Linked DNA regions of Macaca fascicularis. The protein of the gene in region 2 interacts with the protein of the main gene of each other region in a biochemical or structural test. Links are inferred from orthologs where the notes say so. Each region holds a gene or a part of one and is shown on either strand. Other genes may lie near its edges. The genes, in order: EEF1A1 and GADD45A.

Region 1 (4,409 bases), on a different chromosome or scaffold from region 2:
CAAGGCCTCGACCTCTCCCACCCACTTCCAACCCGAAGCTCGGGATCAAGAATCACGTACAGCGGCCAGGGGCGTGTAAGTAATAAAAGGCACGCGAGGGCCATAGCCCGTAAAGAGGCCAGGCCCGCAGGAGCCACACACAGTACTTACCTGTGTTCTGGCGGCAAACCCGTTGCGAAAAAGAACGTTCACAGCGACTACTGCACTTATATACGGTTCTCCCCCACCCTCGGGAAAAGGGCGGAGCCAGTACACGACATCACTTTCCCAGTTTACCCCGCGCCACCTTCTCTAGGCACCGGTTCAATTGCCGACCCCTCCCCCCAACTTCTCGGGGACTGTGGGCGATGTGCGCTCTGCCCACTGACGGGCACCGGAGCCTCACGCATGCTCTTCTCCACCTTGGTGATGACGAGAGCGGGCGTGTGAGGGGGCGGGAACGCAGCGATCTCTGGGTTCTAGGTTAGTGGGAGTTTAACGACGGTCCCTGGGATTCCCCAAGGCAGGGGCGAGTCCTTTTGTATGAATTACTCTCAGCTCCGGCCGGGGCGGGGGGGGAAGAGGAGGGGGAGGGGGAGGCGACGAGGTGGCGGCCTGGAAGGGACGTCCAGAATCTTTCCTCTACCATTGCTAGCTTAGCCCCAAAGGTTGTGTTGAGATTAGGGTGTACCTTCGCCCCCCAATCAGCCTCCTGTCCTCAGCCTTGCTATCTCGCTAGTCCGTGACAAATCCCTAGAGCGTCGTCTTCTGCCGGTCTCAGCCCAGCCCCGGGTTGGCTCCTCCTCCGCCCCGGCTTCCGCGCCCCTCCCGCGTGGCAAGGAGTACCAGGCCCGGGGACCCCGAGGGGCTTGGGGCGAAGGGTCTGGACTGGAGGACTCCTTAACGGCTCACGGACCTGCGAGAGGTTCGGCTCGATGGCCGTGAGCTCGACGAATCCGCTCCTGTGCTGGCCTCTTGGCTCCTTCCATTCAAAGCCAGCTGCTTTTATCAAAGCCCGTAACACGTCATCTCCCCCTGGTACTCCAGATGTCCAGGCTTTCAGTTTAGAATAGACTCAGTCCTACAGTTAGCTTTAGATCTAATTCTAGTTTTGTTACGCCAAAAAGTTCCTGCGAGTGTGTGTGTGCCTCATGGTACTTTTTAAATTAAAAGGTGTACAGTCATTTGATTGCAAACATAAGGAAGCTAAAAAGCTTTCAAATTCAGATTTTCCACGTGATCTCATGTAGAGACTAAGATCTACAGCATCAGCAAGTTTATCCACCCAGTTTCCTAACCCCAACACTTGCTATGAAGTCACAGCTTCTCCTATTTAAATAAGTGCCTATTATATTTAAATAAGTGCTTTCTTTTTCTGTCATCCTATAGATTGTAACTGCATTTTAGCATAAATCTAGGGCAAGATTGGATGAGCTTGGCCGTTTTGGATGGCTATCAAGACAGGCCTTGGGAAATGCTCCTCTGAGGAATGAAGAACGTTTATTTTTAATGAGCTAATTACTAGATCATTATGTTTCTTCTTCCAGCTGTAGAATATTACTGCCCAGCTTCTCGAACAAACTTATTTATTAACAAGTATTTGAGAACCTACTATGTGGCCAACGCTAAGTACTGTGGAGTTCCTTCTGGAGAGGAACCCACAATCAAATTGGAAGAGGAAAACAAGTTGGGAAGCAGTTAAAGGCAAACGCGTATGGTGCTTTCTTGGTTTTTGTATCTTTGTAGTATAAAGTTTTCCTAGTCCATTCGGTTTTCACAGTCCACTTTTTTTTCCTTTTTTTTTTTTCCGGATGGAGTCCTACTCTGTTGCCCAGGCTGGGGTGCAGTGGCGCGATCTCGGCTCACTGCAAGTTCTGCCTCCCAGGTTCAAGCTATTCTCCTGCCTCAGTCTCCGGAGTAGCTGGGGCTACAAGCGCGCCCCACAAATTTTTGTATTTTTAGAAGAGACGGAGTTTCACCATGTTGGCCAGGCTGGTCTCGAACTGCTGACCTCAAGTGATCCACCCGCCTCAGTCTCCCATAGTGCTGGGATTACAGGCGTGAGCCACAGCGCCCAGCCACAGTCAAAAGTTTTTCCTCAAGCCCCTGTGATTGCGGATAATAGTAAACGCTTTATAAATACCTTACAGAGAATGTTTTTTAAAATATCACGCAAGGAATGGCAAAATTACATGAATCCTTGATTTATACCTTAGTAACCTATTGCGCAACACCGACTGGGTGTTCTGAGTATTGCGATAGTGGCTTGCGATAGAGACTTTCATTAGGTGAAGGGAGATCTCAATTCTTGCGTTTAAGAACCAACACTGGACCGGGCGCCGTGGCTCAATGCCTATAATACCAGCACCTTGGGAGGCCAAGGCGGACGTATAACTTGAGGCCAGGAGTTCGAGACCAGCCTGGTCAACATGGTGAAACCCTGTCTCTACTAAAAATACAAAATTAGCCGGGCGTGGTGGCGCATGCCTGTAATCCCAGCTGCTCGGGAGGCTGAGGCAGGAGAATCGCTTGAGCCCGGGAAGCGGAGGTTGCAGTGAGCCAAGATCACGCAATTGCACTCCATCCTGGGTGACGGAGTGAGACCTTGTCTCAAAACAAAACAAAAAACCAATACCTTTGAGCCCATCGGAGCCGTATTATTGTGCGTTGGGGTAGTCGCTGGCCACGAGCATTTTCTCAGGGCAGAGATCACATATCTGCTCTCAGTCCGGCAGGGGTGGGCCGGAAGCTGGAGAGGGACTGGAACGCCGGTCCCGGGGAAGCCCCGCGCTCACCCGGCGCGCCCGGCTTCCTAGGGAGGGAGGCTGGGGCGGCAAGGCGGGCGCGGGTGGTCCTTGCGCCGCGCCAGCTCGCCAGGCCACATCGCTGGCGTTTCTCCAGCGCTGGGTCACCTGCGGGCCGGCGGGGTCCCGCGGCGAACAGCTGAGCGGTATGGATCCGCCACTCGAGCCTCCCCAGCGTCAGGTCGCCAGGGTCCGCCCTGTCTCTCCCCCCACCTTGAGGTCGCTTTTCTTCCGCCTTCTGACTGCGGAAGGAAAGGCCAGGGAGGAGGCAGAAAACCTCACGTGGCTCGGGGTGAGGGTCGGTTTTTGTCACCGTGAGCTGGCCTCTAAAAAACTTTTTAAGTCTCAAGTCTTTTTTTTCCTTCTTATTTTAAATCCCTTTTTCCCCAGACCCTATGTTTTCAACATAATCATAACGGATTCCCCGCACCGTACGGGAGATCCATTATGCTTTTTACTGTCTTAAATGTTAAAGCGGTAACAGTAATGATGTTGAGGCTCGTAAATATGTTTTGGGGTTATAATCTAAGGTGATATTTGTTGAAGGTTTTTCCTTTTTTTTTTTTTTTTGGAGATGGGGTCTTGCTCTGTCGCCCAGGCTGGAATGCAGTGGCGCGATCTCGGCTCACTGCAAGCTCCCCTTCCCGGGTTCACGCCATTCTCCTGCCTCAGCCTCCCGAGTAGCTGGGACTACAGGCGCCCGCCACCACGCCCGGCTAATTTTTTGTATTTTTAGTAGAGACGGGGTTTCACCGTGTTAGCCAGGACGGTCTCGCTTGCTCATAACCATTTAGAGTGACAAACTTAAAATACATTGTAAGTAAACATCTACATGACCCCTTTTAGGAAGAAAAACAATTATTTCAGTTATTTACATAGTAATAAGGCAAACAAGAATCCTTCTTTGAGGTACATAATTGTGATTCACTGAGCTTTCAATATAGTCTAATCACTCTGCTATTAGTCTAATTTAAAGCAGCCTTAAGTAGTTACATTTTGCCATGGCTTGCCACGTGAAAATGATTTTTAAATCTTTTTATCTGCTGTATCTACCGCTGAAGAAAAGATGATAGCCAGGTGTGATGGCTCACGCCTGTAATCCCAGCACTTTGGGAGGCTGAGGCAGGTGGATCACCTGAGGTAAGAGTTCGAGACCAGGCTGGCTAACATGGTGAGACTCCCGTCTCTACTAAAAATACAAAAATTAACCAGGCATGGTGGTGTGCACCTGTAATCACAGCTACATGGGCGGCTGAGGCAGGAGAATCGCTTGAACCTGGGAGGAGGAGGTTGCAGTGAGCAGAAATCGTGCCACTGCACTCTAGCCTGGGTAACAAAGTAAGACTCCATCTCAGAAAAACACTATATATATATGTGTGTGTATACACACACACACACACATATATATATATATATATATATATATATTTAAAGGGGTATTTTAGAATATGATTAAGCCAAGGAACTACTTGGACTGAGAATCCAAATAAAATGGTGTTTTAGTGTGACAGGCACTGTTCTAGTATTTGCAATATTTATTGTAATCCTACCACCCACATGGTATAGATGGAGCAGCAATGGGCAACAGATAGTTTATGCATAATAAGCAAATATAGACATATATTC
Region 2 (4,236 bases):
TATGATTAACCCTTTAGGCTTTTCTTTTACTTGAGGGCATATAAACCAAAAATACCCAAACTATGGCTGTACTTTTAAACTTTAACAGATTTGGTTTATTTTAATGTAACTCAACCATTCTAAATTAATACATAGTTTTCCTTCCTGCATGGTTCTTTGTAATTTTTGTTCCTTTTGACTTATTTTTCTGTTTCAACACAGCTTCCTTCTTCATTTTCACCTCTTTCCATCTGCAAAGTCATCTATCTCCGGGCCCCCAGAACATGTAGTTGAACTCACTCAGCCCCTTGACATCAGTTTCTGTAATCCTTGCATCAGTGTAGGGAGTAACTGCTTGAGTAACTACAAAGGTATTTCAAAAACTTCAGTGCAATTTGGTTCAGTTATTTTCATTCAGATGCCATCACCGTTCAGGGAGATTAATCACCGGAACCCACTGATCCATGTAGCGACTTTCCCGGCAAAAACAAATAAGTTGACTTAAGGCAGGATCCTTCCATTGAGATGAATGTGGATTCTGGAAACAAATTTAGAAAAATAAACTTATTTTTAAAAAATCGATATTTGCTAGTATTACACTTTTGAGGAGAAGACACTTGAACATTCTATATTTTGGCTACGTGACATGGAGACAAATTAGAAGCACAAAAAATTAAAGTTTCTTCAAAGTAGTTGGGTTCCGTGCAAAATCGTTAAGGGTAATTACCTATTAAACTACACACTGCAAAGTCTGAACCCATGCAACCCAAGCTGAACCACATACATATGTTTGCATATCTGTTCAGTTTTGCATGAGAGTATCATTCACGGGTTTGCTCTACCAAACTTGTTACCCTGACCTGAGTGAAACAGTTTTGAGAAAGATTTCCATGCTGTGTGCACAATGAGATGAGAGCTGCACAGCAGTTAACTGGAATTGCCATCAACTCTACTCCCAAGAGACAGAGTAGTACTTTTAAGGAGTAGCAAAATAATCCGGCTGTCACTTGACTAGACCAGTCAAAAAGCAAAATTTAGAAGACAAAAGTAGCACACTTATCCCTGAAAACATAACTTCCCTACCTACCAAAGGTTTTTATCAGAAGAGTAAAAAAAAAAAAAAGGCCCATTAAAAAAATGCAAGATTGCAGAGAAAAAAATTCCACTCTATCCTCTTAATGTATTTCTAGGGAATTAACAAGGTTTGTCTCCTACACAATTTCTATTTTTAGCTCTGACTGGCAGAGAATGAAGCTGACTCCTTAATGAGGGGTGAGCCAGGAATTCATTTGGCTTTATCTAATCTGCCCTGCTAAAGGAATTAGTCACGGGAGGCAATGCAGATGTAGGTAGGGAGTAGCTGGGCTGACTGCTGACTCACAGGGATCTCTTCCGCTGCTGGCAGTCCCCAGCATGCTTAGACATGTTCTGTACCACAGATTATCCTGATGATGAAACTAGTACATCTCGGCTGAAAGTCCAGCCACACTCTCGTGGGGCAAAGGCAGCACCCTCCTGACCCAAACCTACCCCAGATCCACAATCAGGCGACCCAGCCCTGACTCCCGTCCTTCCGGGGCTCTACCCCGCAGGCTGCAGTCCCCCTGCCCCTTACCGTCACCAGCACGCAGTGCAGGTCCGGGGGCTGCTCGGCGCCCTCGGTCGCCGCGGGGCCAGCGTCGGTCTCCAAGAGCAGGAGCTCCGCCAGCCGGCCCGGGTTGCTGACGCGCAGGATGTTGATGTCGTTCTCGCAGCAGAACGCCTGGATCAGGGTGAAGTGGATCTGCAGAGCCACATCTCGGTCGTCGTCCTCGTCCGCCGCCAGCAGGCACAACACCACGTTATCGGGGTCGCTGGGGGCAGCGGGCGGGGCCAGTGAGCGCAGAACCGCGGACGCCCTCAACCCCTGCCTGGGTCTCCGGGGGTCGCCGCCCGGCCAGCTCGCCCCCTCCCCTCCGGGACAGGCAGCCGCGGGGGCAGAAGAAAAGCGACAGGAAGTGGCGCGGCCGGGCGAGGGGCGCCCAGCCAAGGCGACCTCCCGGGCTAGGGCGGGAAGGGGTGCCACGGGAGACGCGCAAGGGCCCCACTTACACGTTGAGCAGTTTGGCCGCTTCGTACACCCCGACAGTGATCGTGCGCTGACTCAGGGCTTTGCTGAGCACTTCCTCCAGGGCATCCCCCACCTTATCCATCCTACACGCGGGCAAGGGCGAGGGGTCCCGTCAGCCCCGGTGCCCTCGGGCCCATCGCCGCCCCCATTGCCCGGCACCACGCCCCTCCCTCTCGAATGCAAGCACCACCGCGCACCTGGGCTCTCCGAAAACCCGGCGCTCCCGCGGCCCCGTCACCCCCCATGACCCCTGCACGCCCAAGGACCGGGCGTCCCATGAGAAGTCCCGAGAGTGCCCCTGCCACAGGCTGCTAGCCCCAGGAGCCGCAAGGGCAGCGACGGCCACTGCTGCCCTTTGCAAAGGCCCCGGCGGGGCTCGTTCGGGTTGCGGGGCATGCTCTTTCAGTCCGCGGACGCTACACGGAGAGTCCCGAGGGAGCAAGGGCGGGAGTTGCCCTGTGCAAACTTTTCTGCTTCCTCCCCTGCAAACCTTCCACAGCCCGCCTGCACCCGGGAGCGCGGGGTAGGTGAGAGAAGTTCGGGCCGGAAGAGTCCGCAGGCCGATTTACCTTTCGGTCTTCTGCTCTCCAGCCGAGAATTCCTCCAAAGTCATATTGCAAACTGCAGGTCGCCCACGGAGAGAGCGCGGCGTGCGGGCTGCTCCTGCCACGGCGAGCGCGCCAGCGCCTGCTTTCTGCACTCACTCACAGGCGCCGCGCCGGGAGCTCAGGCCCCGGCGCTGTCCGGCTGCCCCACGCCCGCCCGGGCTCCTCCTCCTGTGCCAGCCGCCGCAGCTTCGGCCACCCCTCCCGCCCCGCTTGCTCGTTCGCTCGCTCTCCGGCCCTCGCCTCGCCACCGGCCTCACGACACTAATTGGGCAGCTGCCTCGCAGCCACTGCTTACCAGCCACTGGAGGACAAAGGGCCCCGCTCGTCGGCGTTATCCTGCCAACCCTCAGCCAACCACCTTCCGCCTCATTTGCATGCATCTTGGCCATTGGGCTATGCAAATCAGCCTGCTCCGGCAATTTGACCCTAGCTCCTGGAGTCAGGTTGAGAGGAGCGGAAAAGGGAGGAGCCACGCGGGAGGCGAGCCGAGGGGGCGGGGGCGGGGGCGGGGACGGGGGCGGTGCAGAGAGAGGAAGGCGGGTCCCGCGCGCTCTCTTATCCGGTTGGCGGGGACCACTGGGAGTGGAGGGCTTCAGCAGAGGCGGGAGGTAGCCTTAGCTTGGGCTGAAGCAGGCTGCCAAGTGTTTTTTTATAATAGTCGCGGCACTTTTTTCTTATTATCGTTTCATGCCTTTTGTTTTAAGGGGTGGCTATTAAAATCTATTTCCAGGGTTAATGCACCTAAGTCTAGTAATTATTAGTAAGCAGTTTACATTAAAAAAGTGTCTCCAGACCTCTGGGGCAAAGTTTACCTCAGAAGTGTTGTTTATCTAAGTCTAGGCGAAGCTGCTTATTAGCAGTAGTATTATTTCGGTGCCCTGATGGCTGGTTTGATTTATTTTTGGAAAGCTGCAAGGGTTGGAAGCTCAAAAAAGAAAAACCAACCCGTTTGTATTCAGGGATGGCAGGGAACCAAGTTGGAGTCTTTTCCACAGAATGCAGAACGGTTTCCCACCTGCCCGCTGTAACTGGGAAATCGTGAGCTGGTCTGCGTGGGGAGCTGGTGACCACATGTGGGAATCCCTGGCAACCCAGATTCTCCTTTCTCAAAGAGCCTTGCCCAAACAAGGATCCTTCTGGACGCCCACCAGTCGAGAGACAACCATCTGACACCCACACAGCCCACAAGTCTAAATTCAAAATGCTCTTGATATGCCCTAAGCTTCCTTTCCTAACGTATGTATGTCACTACCTTCCACAGAGAGCCTCCTGTGTGATCTCACTGTGAATTATTGATGTTAGATGCTGAATCATGAAGCCGTAACTATAGGAAGTTTTTAGTCATATGCTAAAATTTCACCTTTGAGATAATGGCAACTTGCAGGTGGAAAGCAGACCTTTAAAACTGCAAATGGTAGTTACACATTTTGAAAAACAAACTTTAATATATAGACTCTCACTGAGTAGTTCAAAAGTCCCTTCCTTTGTTTTATGGTTTATGCAATAAATGCAAAAACATTTCTTAAACCTACTGAAGTC

What was found.
Region 1: the proteins of GADD45A (region 2) and EEF1A1 form a complex in vitro, tested with the Homo sapiens proteins (2 studies listed by BioGRID). The link is inferred for Macaca fascicularis from reciprocal best matches to the Homo sapiens genes GADD45A and EEF1A1.

The regions. Positions count from the first base shown.
Region 1 is NC_088378.1:101,521,107-101,525,515, reverse strand, and holds the start of EEF1A1 (elongation factor 1-alpha 1), read right to left. Parts: upstream 3,024-4,409; 5' UTR 2,615-3,023; intron 186-2,614; exon of another isoform or gene 151-185; intron 1-150. UniProt on the Homo sapiens protein: Translation elongation factor that catalyzes the GTP-dependent binding of aminoacyl-tRNA (aa-tRNA) to the A-site of ribosomes during the elongation phase of protein synthesis.
Region 2 is NC_088375.1:166,989,641-166,993,876, forward strand, and holds the start of GADD45A (growth arrest and DNA damage-inducible protein GADD45 alpha), read right to left. Parts: upstream 3,001-4,236; 5' UTR 2,703-3,000; coding exon 2,659-2,702; intron 2,173-2,658; coding exon 2,071-2,172; intron 1,833-2,070; coding exon 1,595-1,832; intron 518-1,594; coding exon 404-517; 3' UTR 1-403. UniProt on the Homo sapiens protein: In T-cells, functions as a regulator of p38 MAPKs by inhibiting p88 phosphorylation and activity.